Arabidopsis thaliana: one gene and its partners. The protein of the gene in region 2 interacts with the protein of the main gene of each other region in a pairwise test. Each region holds a gene or a part of one and is shown on either strand. Other genes may lie near its edges.

Region 1 (6,460 bases), on a different chromosome or scaffold from region 2:
GTACAGGAAGATCTGTGGAGGAAATTCTCAAGGCTACTAAAACAGTACTTCTCCAGAAACCCGACTCAGCTAAAGCTTTTGACTCTTTTCTGGAGAATAGGAAACCTGCCGCTTCAATCAACTCTCCTCTCTCTACACGAGAGGAACTCGGAGAACCAATTATACCGACCAAAGCTCATGAAGACAACAACTCAACCAAAACAGAGACCGCAGAACAGAACGGTAAGACCAAAGAGAACAACAACAGTAACGGCAACTCTGAACCAGCAGCAGCATCTGGTTCAGACCCAGACGGTTGGTCTGCTGTGCAAGAAAGAGCTCTGGTACAGGCTTTGAAGACGTTCCCAAAGGAGACAAACCAAAGATGGGAGAGAGTAGCAACAGCTGTTCCAGGGAAAACGATGAATCAATGCAAGAAGAAGTTTGCTGATCTTAAGGACGTCATCAGAACCAAGAAACCCACAGCCTAACCTATCCGATTCCTCGAGCTGCACGCTTTGAGATTTTGTTTTGACAGAGATGAGCGTGGACTCAATTTTTGCTACAATTCATATTTTCGTAATTCGTATACATCATCATGCTGCTCTTATTCTACATAGAGTTTTTGACAACCGAATCTATTCTTATTTATCTATTTTGTTCTAATTTTATTTATGCTCTCTGTCTTTATTTAATTTTTTGATCGTCTGGTGTTATCTTGTTTTCATTTTTCTATCTAGTCTACAAACGAATAGCCGAAGGGAGTCGTTGATAAACCAAAGCGAAATCAAACTTAATCCAAAGAGAAATATATTAAAAGAAACAATTCTCTGTTTAACATTGAATCAAATCAACTGTCTGTATGTATACCATAGTCCTTAAAGAAGCCAGTTCTACAAAATCAACCACTTCATCCTCCTGATGAATCGTCATTATGGGTTATTGGTACAGAAGCCAACAAAGTATCGGCTGTGATCAAAAGGCTCAAAGAAAAGATATTGTTCTTGCATTGGCAGTTGCTAGTCCATGACCATGAGAAGTGAGAACTGACAGATTCTGAACGGCTCTAATCCAATCCACACCACCAATGGAGTGGAGGATTTCCCGGGCTCGTTAGGGTAGTTCTGTCATTTGACAGACAGGTGGCATGTTGCTCCAAGAACAAGACCCAACTCCTGAGGATGCCCCAACACTCATATTCATATAGTCATTTCCTATGTCATCGCCAAGGAGAACCGCGAGTGCGTCGCTCATGCTACCTGTCTCTTTCACAATCCCTAAACCATGGTCAAGCCAGCTCGATGCAAGCAAAACGTCAGGCCTTGTTATATCCAAGAGAGGTTTCCGCTTTTTTTCTCTCTGCCCTGCATAATTTTTTAAGTTTAGGTGAGTTCTTGATCAGCTCAAAATCTCGGCTATAAGAAACAAATTAATGCAAGTGATGATTCTCAAAAAGTAAAATCAGGATACCAAATAGAATTCTAGGGAAAAAGATGAAATCTTCAACAAACTATTTCAAGTGATGGTAAGGTGAATAGTAACTCACTTGGTGGAGTTTCATCTGCATTTTGTGTGGACATTTCGGAATGAACCAAGAAGCTCTTAAGGGAATTGTCAAACTCCTCGGATTTAGTTTGGGATACAGTAACCTGGCCAAGATCAGCTGATGGAATAGTTGAAGCGCAGCTCCTGTACAAATTGTTCTTTGTACTATTATTTCTGATCTTGGCTTCCAGAAGCAACATATCGAGCAGACCAGTATCAAAATTTGAATATAAATCTGACTCTTCTCCCCCCGTTGGTGGTGGTGGAGACTGAATGTAAGTATCAAAGGGATCAAGGAGATCAGAGTGTGGAGGAGATGACGATTTCTTCCACTGGTCAAATGTTGTTTCTGAATATTGGAATGAAGGGAGCTCCAGCTTCACTGCCCCATATAAGGGCTTAGAATAAGGAACAATGCCATCCGTAGGGGTATGGCTATCTGGAATCATAACAGGTGAATGTCGGTTTCCATAGAGAGGATGCTCAACATCACAAGGAACTGAGAAGCTGCAAGTTTTGGAAATCGTTTGTGGAGATGTGTTCCGGAATTGTTCAGGCGACGAGAATTCTTGCTTTATGGTACTGCTACACCCAGGATACAACAACTCAGATTCCCAAAGTCGCTTCGAGGAGGGGATTGTTGGTGTCATGAAGTTTTCATATCGAGGAGAACTTGCACAGTTACCCATATTTTTGTAGGCAGTCATATCTGCTAGATCAAAAGTACCAGGTACCATGTCGGTAAAATTAAGAGTATCAAAGAAGACATTAGATTCACAACTCCCCAGCTGCAAGAAATCTTGATGTCTTCTATCTTCTCCCATAACTCTACTCTTGGCATACTCTTGACTCCACTCAAGTGCCTCAACATGCATCTCAGGAGGATAAAGTGGCAAACCAGCTCGTTGTCGCCTCTTGATACGAGTGTTCCAATAATTCTTTATCTCATTATCCGTTCGGCCAGGCAACTGGAGCAAACAAAAACTCTATGAAATTAGTCTCGAAACACACTTTTACAAAAGGAACCATATCCTTATCAGAAACAAAACACTTACATGTGCAGCCATACGTGCCCATCTATTACCCATCTTGGCATGCAATTCAACGATAAGCTGTTCTTCTTCTTGACTAAAAGCTCCTTTCTTCAAATTTGGCCTCAGATGATTAGCCCATCTTAGACGACAGCTTTTACCACAACGAAACAAGCTGGTGTGTTTCTGCACAGCATTCCAGTTACCCTCACCATGCTTATTCACATAGTCAATAAGAATATCATCTTCAGCTGAACTCCAAGGGCCTTTCTTGAGAGCATGACCATCCCATCTACTTCTGCAGTCACTTCCATTATCATCAGCAGCTGGTGACTCATTATGGTCACTGTCAGTGCTCGTGTAACTCATCTCTTTTCTAATTAAACCACTGACAGTAACAATTTAGACATCAAGCTCCCACCTAAACACCAAAAACTTCAGCTTGAAATAAAGAAAGTTCATAGTCATAAAGAATTAAAAGAGACGAAAGAGGAAAACAAACCCTAAATAAGGAAAGAAAAAAAAAACAAAATCCAGAACTGTCAGACGCTGGATACCTGAAAACCAACAGAGAATAAAAATTAGATTGAGAAGATTAGTAGTCTATTACGAAGAAGATCAACAACAAAGCTGATGCAAACATCAATCGAAAGCGCAGATAAAGATCAGCTGAAATAGATCAGAACGCACAAAGAAGATACTATCAGATTATGAATATGAAAAAACAGAAAACCTGATTTGAAATCTAAGCTGAAATTGAAAGTTTTTAAAGATCCTAAGGACTAATCAATCATAGATCCATGAAAAGCAGCAATTCGAGATAGAAACGGAAAGATAATCTAGAAACAAAAAATTATATTTACGCGGAGAGAAGCTCAAGGCTAAGGAAAATACCAAAGCTGGATAGAGATCCGAGCTTAGCTTGGGCAGCTGAACATCGAGTGGAAATGGAAGGAGGGAGAGAAGCTTAGCTCTTTCTCTTCCTTTTACTCTTTTCTACTTTCTATCCCATTTTTCTTTTTCTAAAACGTTTTCTTAAATATATTATAATACGATAACTTGTGAAAATTAACTATTTTATTATTGTTATTAGCATTGTAATTATGTTACTAAAAATTAATCAGAGTTTTTACTAAATCAAAGCTTAAGCAAAAATAAAAGCAGCTTATGAAGACAATCCTTTTGGTTTATTAACTGAAATGCATTCAGATAGTAAAAGAGTGAGATTGAATAATTGATTTGAAAGAGTTGTAACTTGTAAGAAAGAAATAGAGTTGAATTGGTCACCTTTTTGCAGCCTTTTTTGGTCACTCTCTTTATCTCATTTCATGTTGTGTCGTATGTTTATACGTATGTATATTCCCGTATAAGGACAACACTAGGCTTACGAAACCTACTTCTGATCCTAAAGAAAAGCCCACAACAGAATTCAAGTTAGAGATACTAAAGCCCATTACGTTTCTTCTTCTTAAGAATAAAACAAACAAATAAAACATTTTTCTTTAGTATTATTAACCTAATTAATCTAGAAAATTTTATAATGTTAACTGTTTTCTGAAGCATGTACTATTAACTATTTTGTTAATGTGGCGAATCTAAAAGTTGGCCAACTCTAACGGGAAGGCGGCAGCTAAAAATTTGGCGGTCAAAGAGATTGTCATCATCCAACCAAATACGCAATTAACTATTATTTGATCAAAAAAGTTATAAGATGATATTTGCAGCTCAAGTTTCCTTAATCAATTTCTTAGCTACCACCACCAAACTATTAATCGTCTGTGCATTACCAACCATTATTTTTCTCACCCTTAGTTTGTATGATTGAAAACAATTCTATACATTCTTTTAAGATGTGATGTAAATTAAACATAACCAAATTTAACTAACAAGTAGTTAGATATATAGAATATTTGGACAATTTTGTCAACGTATTTTCATAAAGCGAAAATGTCCCAAGGAAATTATTCTATTGGGCTCTCTTTTGAAAGATATGTAAAAACGTTGTCATGTATTTAATTTCAACTTTTAACAAAAAGGTTAATATACTTGCGATTACATTCGACAATTTATAAAGTAAGGAAAAAAAAAACACAAAACCGTAGTCATAATATACTTTCAACAAAAAAATCTTTAAAAATGAAAACTTAAGCAATCAGTGATCGCGTAATTTAGAGTATATAATTATCAAAATAACTTGTAAATTAATGCAAAAAAGGTTTGAAAGTGGTGACGACCTTCTTGACTTGATCGAGAAACGACAAATACGACACGGTTCCGTCGTTCCCTGCGAGAACTCTATACTTATCCTTCCTCGTAAAGTTAGTACACTCAAAGCCTAACGTAGCTGCCAAGATTCTCTGTACATAGTTAGCCACGTCATAAGGGCTCTTCCCTGACGAACACGTCGCCTCCACCTCGAGCTGGTTCAAGAACGTCACCTCATAAACCGGTCTCGGGTTCATGAAAAAGAAGATCGGGTCCAAACCTTTCCAGCCTCTAGCGGTAGTCGCATGAAAGAATCCAACTCTGTAGTTCATTGCCACGGGCACAATATTGTCGGTTAATTCTGCGAAAAGCGCGCTAAATCTCAGCAAAAACGGCTCGCGACAAGTGGTTCCCTCGGGATATACCACTAAGTCCCCATTAGACAGTTCTTTCTTGATCATCTCCGCATCTACATCTCGAATTCTAGTTAACCTAAAGGTTGGAATCGGAGATAGGATCTCGGATAAACGAGAAATAGAGTAGGTAACAGCTGGAATGCTACGTCCGAGCACATAGGATAATACGACCGGATCCATTAGAGTTCTATGAGTGCATACGAATAGTACGCCTGGGTTTCCGGTGGTTGCTTGTGCCGGAGGCTTTCCTTTTACGATGAATCGAGTGTTGAATATCCGTGAGACGTAAGGTATGGCCCATAATGGAAGTAAGAACCCAACGAATATCCGAATCATGGCTAGAATTATTCCAAAGGGGATCCAAAGAAGGATGATGAGTGCGGTGGCTGGTGTTGGTAGCTTCACAAGTCGTCCATCGTGGAAGATAACTGGTAACGGCTGCACATGTAGCCGCTGGTTATGACCGTTGTAGTTCGATGGAACTGGTGCATGAACTTGCTCCTACATGTACATAACATATGCAATCATTCAGATTAGAAAAATGATAGTAACGCTTTCATAAATTATAAAACAACCTAAAAGAATTCCTAACGTTATGTTGTCTTTAGTACTTACCTCACATAAAGATAGGAAAGTTGGAGAATCCGAGATAATATGTCGTCCTAGACCTAGTTGAGGTCTCCGATCCACAAACAAGTTAGCCACACTGTTGAAAACAGATTGGTCCACATTGGTTTCCTGAATCAAACCGGTAGCATAACCGAAACGGTTTACGACAATCTCTGTACCGATGACCTCATCGGCGCTAAGATGATCCTTAGCGAATCTCTCCACCATAACTCGTGGCATTCTTGTCACAACGACTCTCTTATCGCACGAACCAAACGCCCTCCAAGCGTCCATGCTGATATCGTCCATGAAGAATTTGGGAAGAACCGCTCGAGCCACTGATTCAATCTCTGATTCGTGCAAACCGGCCGTTGCGACGAAGATCATTAACTTAAGGCTACCGTTTCTGTAGCCCAAAACGTCAAGGAGTGCTATGATAGGCCAGAGAAACAGCAAGGTCGCAAAACGGATTAGTCCTGAAGCCTCGAAAGCTACGAGCATGAAGTAGGCGAAGGGTTTTGGGTTTTTCAGTAGTGTTCCTTCTAGCTCCGACACAACTGAATACGATGTTGTAGTTGATGACTCCATCACAACTTAACTTGTTTCTTTTTTTGGGTGTGTGGTTTCTTGAGTTTTTGATTTGTTTGAATATGGAAAATTGTGGATTATAAAGTT
Region 2 (6,191 bases):
AGTACTAAGAGGAGTTTGGTTTCTATCTTTTTTTTTATGCTTGCTCTCTATTTTATGTAATGCTTATCTCATATATATAATGGGATAAGAAAAATAAAAACTGAACAATATTTTATGGTATTCTATTTATAATGCTATTATGTGATTTTGCATCCATGCTATTTGGGGGAAATATTATTTATATAAAATATTTCTATTACAAAATTGAAAGCAACTTTGAGTCTTTGACAATATTCGGCTGCACTAGATTTTGTTTAGGTATATATTTAGAAAAATATATTAGAAAGAACTATATTAGGTACATAGATATACTCTTATTTGGGAATTCTGAAAATATCAAGGAAAATTCCTTATATTATATTTTCAACAACAAAAAAAAAACTTCCTTATATATATGTTCATACTAAGATAAGAATCAAGTAGAGTGGCTAAAATCAGGAATTTGATTGGTCAGAAAAGATTTTTTATCCTCACTCTATTGGTCATGTAAAATTAAAATCAACTTTGAAATTTATTGGTCATTTAGAAGAAATATATTAGGGAGAACTATATTAGGTACGTGATATATTTTGTTTTGGGAATTAATGTGAAAATACTTAAAAACAATTGTTATATTATAATATTTGTTTTAACAAAAAGAAAGAAAAAAACTTCTTTATAATTCTATTTAGAGTAAGATATATCAGAATAAAGTAACTGAAATTAAGAACTGATATTTTATCTGATTGTTAAGAAAAGATTTATTATCTTCTCCTAATTGAGATTTATAAGATATTTCAGTTATTATTAAATCATATTTATATGTGCAACATTTTAAGTTTATTTATTTCTTACCTCTATAATATTAATTAATATTGGTGAAAATAGTTTTAAAACAAAACTGGACGCGAAAACCCTCTTGGCCCAAAGGTTAATCAAGAGTTAATAAAGCCTTTACACCAAAGAAGTCTAAAGTTCGAATCCAAGATTATGCGATTTACTAACAAATTTGCAGATTAATGGAGTTTGATATTAAAAAATATTCAAATATTTTGATTAACTGATGTATATCTCAACGACAACTCAACTCCGTGAAGACATCGTCGCTCAATGACATTGCACCACTTTCAGATTGGGATCGAATCCAAGTGAAAGCAGGAGCTTTAGGTAAAGGAATGATGATAGTCTCACTGCCAAGCCAAATTATTACAGAGCTCATGGTTGGTCTCTTTGTTGAATTCTCTTGAACACACAACAAACCAATTTGGATCAACTTGATGATCTCATTTCTTGGATTCTCTATTAAGAACGGATCAATTATAATCTCAGGCTTTCCTTCAACCCATCTTTTCCATGCCTACACCAAAAACATAAGTTCTTACTTTCGGGATAAAGTTTTGAAGATAGAAAAACAAAAACTGATATGTGAAGAAGCTTAAGGTCGCCGGTTCGAGTAACGCTTGGAACGAAACTAATATTACATGCTGTGGTTTCGGTCCTGGGGGGATTACGGGCTTCGGCCCAAAACCTCCAGCTATTCAAAAAAAAAAAAAATTGTGAAGAAGCTTACAAAAGCTGCAAGTCCTTCTCCTTCGAAGCTATTGTTTCTTTCACCACTAATCATCTCTAGAAGCATAACACCGAAGCTATAAACGTCAGATTTAGCTGAGATTTGTCCATGATTCAAGTACTCAGGAGCCATATATCCACTGCATATATGCAAACCAATAGCATTAATTCATGGACTCTGTTTTCAAAACAGAGCATTTGAAATGTGTCATCAAATTTGATTGATATATTTCTTACCGGGTTCCAGCTATTCTTTTTGTTTCAGCTCGAGTCTCGTCGGAGTCGAACAACCTCGCAGTCCCGAAATCCGCAACTTTAGGGTTCATCTCAGCGTCTAAAAGTATGTTGCTTGCCTTCAAGTCTCTGTGAATAATCTTCAGCTGAGAATCTTCATGGAGATAGAGAAGACCTCGAGCAATGCCTTCTATAATTCTGAACCTCACCTCCCATGTAAGAAGAGAACGCTTATCTTCATCTGCAGAGTTCAAAGAAACATTTAGTTTGCTAAAAGTTCTAAATCTATCCAACTTGGCAGCTGTCTTTCGAAGGCTCACCAAAGATAAAGTGATCAAGACTTGAGTTGGGGACAAACTCGTAGACAAGAATCTCTTCATCTCCCTCATTACAGAACCCAAGAAGCTTAACAAGATTCTTATGTTGGAGTCTTGTCAAGAGTGAAACCTCATTCTTAAACTCCATATCTCCTTGTCCTGATCCTTTTGTTAGTCTCTTGACCGCTACCTCTTGCCCGTTTGGGAATGTCCCCTGAAACCCATTCTCAAGATATCTATTTACTCATAAAAGACCAATGTTGATCAAGAACTCATCATTAAGGAAAAAGTTTATTATTACCTTATAAACCGTACCAAATCCACCTTGGCCAAGCGTATTTTCAGAGGAGAAGTCATCAGTTGCCATTACGATCATACCAAGATCAAACCGTAACATGAATTGACCATCAGAATCAGAGTATTCTGCACTACCAACTAAAAAAACAAAAAATCCATAAGCCTTACTCTCTACATCATAAGCTTGATTGAAGCAAGTTACACTTACCATTATTTAATTTTCCCCTCCGTGCATAGACTTTGATAAAGCCAATAAACACCAAAAGATTAATGAAAGTAAACACCACAACTATTGCGATAATTCCGCCATACCCAATGCTTTTCCCTGCAAATTACCAACCCTTTGTCTAAGAATTAACCTCTTAATCATAATAACAATTTGGCACGAAAAGTTCATACCAAACCGCTTCATGTCACTTATGTAAACAATATTCCTCAAAATTGGCTCTTTTGAGCTCTAAATGAAAGCTAAAATAATTTGTGTTACCTTTTTTTACTGTTATGCAGCTCTCCTTTTCCTGAGCATGAGGTCGAGGAGGAGGCGCAGGAACTCTTGTTACATTATCAAAAGCATTATGGAAAGAATATAGATCCCACCTGAAATAACAGCTTGGAAGACTAGCCATGCCTCCTTTTCTTCCCATATAGTCTTTTCTAAAGTACATCACGCAATCTCCCAAACATTGCTTGCAATCTCGTGAACTTAAGTCGGGTGTGCATTGCATCAGCATGTAAACATCTGGAAACTCGGTGAAACCCGCTTTTTCGGCCTTATAGTACTTAAGCACCGAGGAACCTTCAGCTTTCGTGGCAGCCTCTAGGGTCCGATTAACCATTTCTTCCCACTGTTGTTTGAAAAGGGTTATGTTTTTAGATGACTCTATAGTATCTGGACTTGGCCATACAACAGGAGGTTTAAGCTGGACGCTCCCAAAAGTAGACTGGTTTGAGGAACGTACAAGACAAGTTACATCGTCATTGCCTCCCCATATGAACGAATCCCTACGGCTTCGACAATCTGTTAGTGTGTTCTGAGTCAATGATTGGACACAATTGTAACAAGCGTCTTGGTCGTAGCCTCTTGCGCAGCTGACAAGAGCGTAAACTTTGTCGGGATCTTGGCCGAGTGAAGCGTTGTAGAATCCGTCGTTGATGATGACTTTGTCAGCAAGAGTAGGGAACAGTTTCTGGCGATTCTGAGCGAAGGTGCTGCTGTTACCGTTGAAGGAGTTTCCGAAACATTTGACCGCGTTAACAACATGGAGTGTTTGAAGGACAAGTAGAAGAGAAGAAGAGAGGAATATCATCAAAGCAGAGCATTTTCCCATTTTTGTTTGTTAAAGATAACAACTTCTTTGGTTTTTTTTTTTTTGATGTACTACTTGAAGTAGTCTACTTCGTTACTGTTAAGTATAGTAATAAATTTTTGAGCTTTGTTTATATTTATATAGCCTACCAGCTTTGACATTTGAAAGGTTCCAAAAAGAAAACAAAATATGGCCTAATTTTCTTCGTTACTGTAAATAATAATCACAAGTTATCTTTCAATGGTAAGTTGGTTGATAATAATCAAATGTAATAACTAGTAAAAAAATGAAACATGGCAGTTTTTTTTCCCCGGCAATATTATCATAAACAGTTTTGCATAATACATGAACCATTCACATACGACCATTGACATAAACAGAGACTTTTATATAACGAGAAACATGTCAGTGAAAAATAGTTAACAATGAAATGATAAGTCGCTGAATTACTAAAAATATAGAGATTATATAAGTTACGTTTTCGATTTGTGTTGGGAAAAATCTATTTTACAATGGTTCCTCTGTTTTTTAAGAAGTGTTGTTTAAGCAAAAACAAATAGTTTCATTTTATTTGTTGTTTTCAATTTTTAATGGAAATTTTATTATTTTTGACTCTTAGAAATTCTACAAAACTTTTTTTTCAATTTGTTGAATTGTTTTTAAATAGATAATTAACTATATTAAAAGATAATAATAAAAAACGAAATAATTTCATTTGTGCCAAAACCTTGAAACTTAAACTACAAATAAATGACAATAGAGGGAGTAACAAATTAAATAATATACTTATAATCATTTCTAGGAAGATGTACAGACTCATTCACAATCAACTTCTTAGTCAAAAATTATATGTAATAGTAAAATACTAAAATGTGGAAAAGATAGTGATAGAAAAACACAAATAAATGAAATGTTTGGTATTACCTGTGAGACGTTAACCCATATTAAGAACTTTTGGTCCCCAGTCCCCACAAAACCTTGAAAAAACGCGTCTTTGTTAACTTCCAAACTGAGAGAAAATGCGTATTGGTTGATTTTTCAAAGATTCCAAAAATGGCTACCCACAATATAGAGATAATAGCAAAACAAATTCTTTTTCTTTCGTGATTGATTTTATGAATAGCTTCTTGGACGATTCCGCAATAGCAACTCTTCCACCAATTCACGGATCCACAATATACGGTTCTACATACAGTTATACATTATATATTTATATTTATTATAAATTTATGAAGATGCAGATTCTGACAACAACGAGCTGATAAACATCATGGAGCTGTTGGAAATTAGGAAGCTGCATCAAATCTGTTAGTTTATAATTGAGTTTGGTCTATAAGTTATAATTATGTTGTATTAAAAGGTGTTTGTTAGAGTCGTGACTTTTAGATTAGGTTGTGTCGTTTATCTTAGAGAGAAAGAGACACAACTCTTTACTTATTGTGTCTATTTGTTTTCTATTTAAACTTTTTGTATCGTGATGAAACGAACAAGTTCTCCATTCAATAAAAGTCAGTTTCTCTTTTGCTTTGTGTATCTCATAAGAAACAGAACAACAAGTAAACACTTGTTTTTTCTTTGTAACAAGAGGCTTCAATTTCCAACATGGTATCAGAGCCCTACTGATTCAAGGGCCAAACATTTCAAGTAAAGAGTTTAATAAACACGAGAGAGTTATGGAGATGGTGTCACACATTGTGACTCCAATCTTCAACAAAGAGAATTATGGTTTTTGGCGCATCAAGATGAAAACAATTTTCCAGACAAAGAAACTGTGGGAAATTGTTGACGAAGGAGTTCCAAAACCACCCGCAGAAGGAGATCATAGCCCTGAAGCAGTGCAACAAAAGACACGATGTGAAGCAGCATCCTTAAAGGATCTAACCGCTTTGCAAATTCTTCAAACTGCCGTCTCAGATTCCATATTTCCGAGAATCGCCCCTGCATCAAGCGCACTTGGAAAGCCTTGGTATTGGAATTTCAAGGATCACCACAAGTCAGGATGATAAAGCTTCAATCTCTTAGAAGGGAGTATGAGAATTTGAAGATGAAAGAAAGTGACAATATCAACACTTTCATGACCAAGTTGATTGAGATGGGAAATCAACTGAGAGTTCATGGAGAAGAGAAATCAGACTATCAAATAGTGCAAAAAATCCTAATTTCTCTTCCGAAAAGATTTGACATCATAGTGGCTATGATGAAGCAAACGAAGGATCTGACTTCGTTGTCCGTAACATAGTTGATAGGCACATTGAAAGCACACGAGAAGCGGGTAGAGATGCGAGACGAATGATCAACGGAAGGAGCGTTCTATGGAGAAAACAAACGTGAAGACAAGCGTCAAACGCAGGCTGGGAAATGGTGTGACGTTTGCGAACGTAAAAATCACAATGAGAGTGATTGCTGGATGAAGAAGAACAAAGGTGTTCTTTCGCAACAAGTGGGGAACAATGAGAGAAGATGTTTCGTGTGTAACAAACCGGGACAT
Region 3 (4,395 bases), on a different chromosome or scaffold from region 2:
CACAAAGCCCAAAAACACCTAATTTTTGTTTAATAATTGATATGTCCGAGAGACCGAGACCATAGTTTTGAGTTTAATAATAATAATTTATTTTTTATTTATCTGTTATTTCTGGGGGTTATGCTTAATTACACTGTTCATTTTTACTAATACAATAAGAATATTGATTTCCCTATTTTTATTATTCGGGTTGGATAACTAATACAATTTTGGCTTGGATTTAATCGTTCTCAGTTCTCCCTTCACTCGTCCCAAGAAATGATATTCACAGCTTGGTTTTGCAATAGAAAGTATTTCACTAAATCATAGCTTATCCATTATTAACTACGTTTAAATTGTCTAATGTATGGCGTATGGGAGATGGGCCTAAATTCCAAGACATAATCACTTGTAGTAATCTTTAGAACACTCTACATGGTCTGCTTACTAAAACTTAGTTAATAATGAACTTACGAGAAAAATTCAGGTCATCATTTGAGAAGAAGTAAAAAGTAAGTAATCAACTAGACACAAAAAAAGAGAGGGTAAATTATAAGCAAAAAGATAAGTAATTTTAGGAAAATGAACAAATTGATTAATAAAAATAATGAATATACCAAATTTTAATACTATCATGGAAGCGTCCCCAAAAAAAAAAAAAAAATGAGAAATGCATGAATTAGTAGTTGGATACTTTGTTCAGTTTTGTTGCTAGGTAGGATATATATATATATATATTATTTTTTTATTGCTAGGATATTTTGTTGGTACAGGTTATATTTCTGCTATGGTTTACCAAAAAGAAGTACCTTGAACCCAACCAACAATGGATAGCTAACATTCGCCAAAATGTAATAATTTGACACGCTTTCAAGAAATAATAATGATAGTGATTCAAGAACATCTCCGTTTATAAAATGTACATATACATTGCTACATTAGCAACAAGTTAAACAAGAAGCAAAAGACAAGAGTTTCTTCAATATAATAGTCAAATTTCCAGGAAAGAAAGAAAAACCCACCTAATCCAATAATAATAAAAAAAGAGAAGAAAATTTCCCAAAATCAAAAACCCTAAATCGAATCAAAATCCTTTCTAATAAGAATGAAATAACCCAAAACAGCACAAACCGCAGCAACAGCATTGCCTTCTTTCAAAAGAACCTTAAACACAAATCCAAACACTTCTCTTGTAATCTTACGAGCTTCAACAACCAATACCCTTCTCGATTTCCCAAAAAACGCAAGCAACACAACCACCGATATCCAGATCACCATAACCGCCGGAACCGCAACCGCAGCCGCCGCAACCATCGACATGGCTCCAAACACAGCTCCTAACACCACAGACGCGTAAACCGCCGGTAATCTTGACGGAGACGGCGATGACGTGTACTGGAGCTTGTACCAGCTAAGCACAGATGTGAGAAAGTTCCATGAGGAAGCCAGGAGAATCGCGTAGACAGCTACAAAGAGACAAACCCATGTCCGTCTCTTGCTCATGATTCGCATAAAGATAAGGTACGATCTTGGAGGAGAGCCATTCGATGTTCTTGGCGATCCTGTTGGATCCATCATCGGCGATCTGATTGAGATTTTTTATTGAGGGATTTTTTCTTTCTTTGTGTTGGAAATTGAAATCTCCGTGATTTGAGATTTGTGCTGAAGAACTAGAAGAAGAAGAAGAAGAAGAAGAAGAAGAGAGAGAGCACAAAAAAAAAAGTGAAAGTCTTCAGATTTGGGGAAAATAGATTAGTTCACGTGAGTCCCACTCTCATGTTAAAGCGCGTGTTAATCACTCGTTGGTTTAGAGGCTTGTAGTGGAGTACACGCGCTTAAGTTTCGTTTTATTTATTGATTTCCCCCAAAAGAGACCAGACATGGAAATTAGGAACAAATGAATATACATGGAAACTGCGTGAACTCACTCTGATCAAAAATATTATTATTTCCATTAATATCACTTAATTACTCTTTTCTTCGTTTATTTCTTTCTCCTCTCGGAATTATGAAATTAAATACTAATGACGAAACGCGATTTCTGTTTATACCATTTTTTACTTCAACAAATCTGTTTGAGACGTAATGCATTATCTTCTTTTTTTTTTTTAGTTTAGTCGTATAGCAAGTTAGGGACAAACAAACAAATGCGATTTGTCTTTCCTTTTCTTTTTTTTAATGCGATTTGGCTTGATAGTGCGCCTCTACGCTTATTATAGCCGACAAACTAAAATAAAAGAATCGTCTATTTATTCTAACCTTTAATGACATTTTACCTTTTTTGTTTTGTTTTGTTTTGTCTATCTTTTATGAAGAAGACTCTAAAGGAACGAAACTTCTTGACGTTCACCGCTAGCAAATTCTTGAATGCATGCGATTGTCTTTTTCTTATGGAAGTCTTAGCTTTTTCTCTTGAATATGGATTTTAATATTCTTCCGTCTAGTCATCAAATGAGATTAAGCATTTATCTACAATATATGGAACACTAATCATATAAGTTGAGAATCTACAATCAAACATTTTTAAAATTGGATATGGATGTGGTATTGTATGGTAAACCATCTTCCAAGTAATTGGACATTTGGAATACTAAGATTTACTTGGCATATGAAACAATTTAACGTCCCTTGACATTTGTAACAATTTCACGTACGAACGATTGCAACGACTTTGTTATGTGTCAAACGCTTTTCTAATATGGAAGTTGACACGACTTTGAGAATTAATTTGTAAGAACATTAAACAAATAATCTTCCAGTTTTGTAGTCTTCTATTGATGTACACTTCAAAGAATCTTCTAGTTCATAATCCCATGACCGGAAACGGAGTCCAATTTTGCCATACAACACGGTCGCGATGGCAAATTGGCAACACCGCATGGTCCGCATGCCGATGAAGGTGTCGGCATCCTATTGACGATCTCTATATTTAATACACTTTGATTTTTTTTTAAAATAAGTAAATGAATTAGTTCTAAAGACATCGGGCTGTCGTGTGAGCCAAGTAAATTAAAGTATTTCATAAATTATTCTATTTTAGTTATTTACAAACACACGCGTGTGCACATGTATTTGGCAAATTATTTGAGTCAAACAACATCTTCCTATCACAATTCTGAACTTCTTTATACTCGTGATTAATTTCTTATATTTTTGTCTTCACTGTTTTAGTCCACATGTTAAATTATAAGAACTTCATACACGAAAACTAAACAATTAAAAAAAAAAAAAAAAACTAAACAATTAGAATAATTTCAAACGAAATAAAAAGTCAATACAATTAGTCTTGTAAGAGCGATGATCAAATAGATTGAAAGACTATAATAATGCTCTAAGTTTATTTTAAAATTTTCAACCAATTTTATCTACCATTTAAAAGGTTGACAAAAAAAAAATGTTGACTAAAACAAGTCTTGATACAATTATTTGAATAGGCTGAATGATGATACCAATCAAACTTACATTTAATAAAATCTGAACATTTTAAAAAATAAAAATAAATGAAAGAGAATTCCATGAATGATGATGAGATAGAGCCATAGAGAGACTGAGAGAGAGAGATGTGGAGAAAAATCTAACTTTGGTCGACGAAAGGCGGCTAAGTTGGTTATTGACATTTAGCTATTTTTTTTATGAATCCGTTCATACATCGATCGATGATAGTGACTCACTCTACGTAATCGTTTAATTAGTCAAATCTGCTACAACTAACAAATAAAAATCTCCCCTTTCCTTACATATTCTCTCCGCAACCCTCTTTGATTCTATTCAACGCTTTGCCTAAAGTCAATCTTCATCAATTTCTCTCCATTCCTTCACTCAATTCCGGCCAAAGTTTTGATTTTTCCGGTTCGAATCACTCTTTCTGGGGATTTCACAGTGTACTGTGTGTGGTCTTCCGAAGAAGAAGAAGAATTCAAAAATACGATCTTGTTGGTTTTCGTGAATTGGGTATTTCCCGCTGAGCCGTTGAAGTTGTGTGTTTGTTCTGAGTGGATTGAAATTAGGGTTTAGATTTTAGGGAAGTGAATGGATTGGGTTGTGAATAATAAAGGTTAAGTTTTTCTGTAGATTGGTTATGTGTGTAGATTCATGTTCTAGAGAGCATACGAATGGGTTGTGTGAATTCTAGGCATAGGCCTTTTAGAAGAAAGTCAACAACACTGAAAGAGTCATCAGAGGAGAAACGTTCCTCTCGGATTGATTCGTCGAGGAGGATTGATGATTGGATTCAACCGGAAGATGGGTTTGATAGATTGAGTAACAGTGGAGATGCTAAAGTTAGGTTGATTGAATCCGAAATGTTTAGTACAAGTAGGTGTCATGATCATCAGATTGGGAAGATATTAGAGAATCCTGCGACAGTTGCTCATATGGATAGAGTTGTGCATGATCAGGAATTGAGAAGGGCCTCTA

The links. The genes of interacting proteins can lie anywhere in the genome.
Region 1: the proteins of CRK40 (region 2) and MYB33 interact in a protein complementation assay, tested with the Arabidopsis thaliana proteins (one large-scale study listed by BioGRID).
Region 3: the proteins of CRK40 (region 2) and AT1G03730 interact in a protein complementation assay, tested with the Arabidopsis thaliana proteins (one large-scale study listed by BioGRID).

What each region holds. Positions count from the first base shown.
Region 1 is NC_003076.8:1,835,019-1,841,478, reverse strand, and holds MYB33 (myb domain protein 33), read right to left. Parts: upstream 3,645-6,460; 5' UTR 3,450-3,644; exon of another isoform or gene 3,113-3,449; 5' UTR 3,058-3,112; exon of another isoform or gene 2,977-3,057; 5' UTR 2,925-2,976; coding exon 2,580-2,924; intron 2,493-2,579; coding exon 1,526-2,492; coding exon of another isoform or gene 1,482-1,525; exon of another isoform or gene 1,344-1,481; coding exon 1,093-1,343; 3' UTR 752-1,092; downstream 1-751. Other genes in the region: AT5G06110 (DnaJ and myb-like DNA-binding domain-containing protein), read left to right, coding at 1-470; GPAT7 (glycerol-3-phosphate acyltransferase 7), read right to left, coding at 4,757-5,677, 5,792-6,373. UniProt on the Arabidopsis thaliana protein: Transcriptional activator of alpha-amylase expression that binds to 5'-CAACTGTC-3' motif in target gene promoter. Positive regulator of abscisic acid (ABA) responses leading to growth arrest during seed germination.
Region 2 is NC_003075.7:2,287,578-2,293,768, reverse strand, and holds CRK40 (cysteine-rich RLK (RECEPTOR-like protein kinase) 40), read right to left. Parts: upstream 3,868-6,191; 5' UTR 3,725-3,867; coding exon 2,884-3,724; intron 2,722-2,883; coding exon 2,605-2,721; intron 2,535-2,604; coding exon 2,401-2,534; intron 2,314-2,400; coding exon 2,103-2,313; intron 2,024-2,102; coding exon 1,786-2,023; intron 1,689-1,785; coding exon 1,550-1,688; coding exon of another isoform or gene 1,514-1,549; exon of another isoform or gene 1,337-1,513; coding exon 1,052-1,336; 3' UTR 819-1,051; downstream 1-818. Other genes in the region: AT4G04580 (Homeodomain-like superfamily protein), read left to right, coding at 1-8.
Region 3 is NC_003070.9:929,964-934,358, forward strand, and holds AT1G03730 (pyrroline-5-carboxylate reductase), read right to left. Parts: upstream 2,023-4,395; 5' UTR 1,558-2,022; coding exon 1,054-1,557; 3' UTR 752-1,053; downstream 1-751. Other genes in the region: AT1G03740 (Protein kinase superfamily protein), read left to right, coding at 4,092-4,395.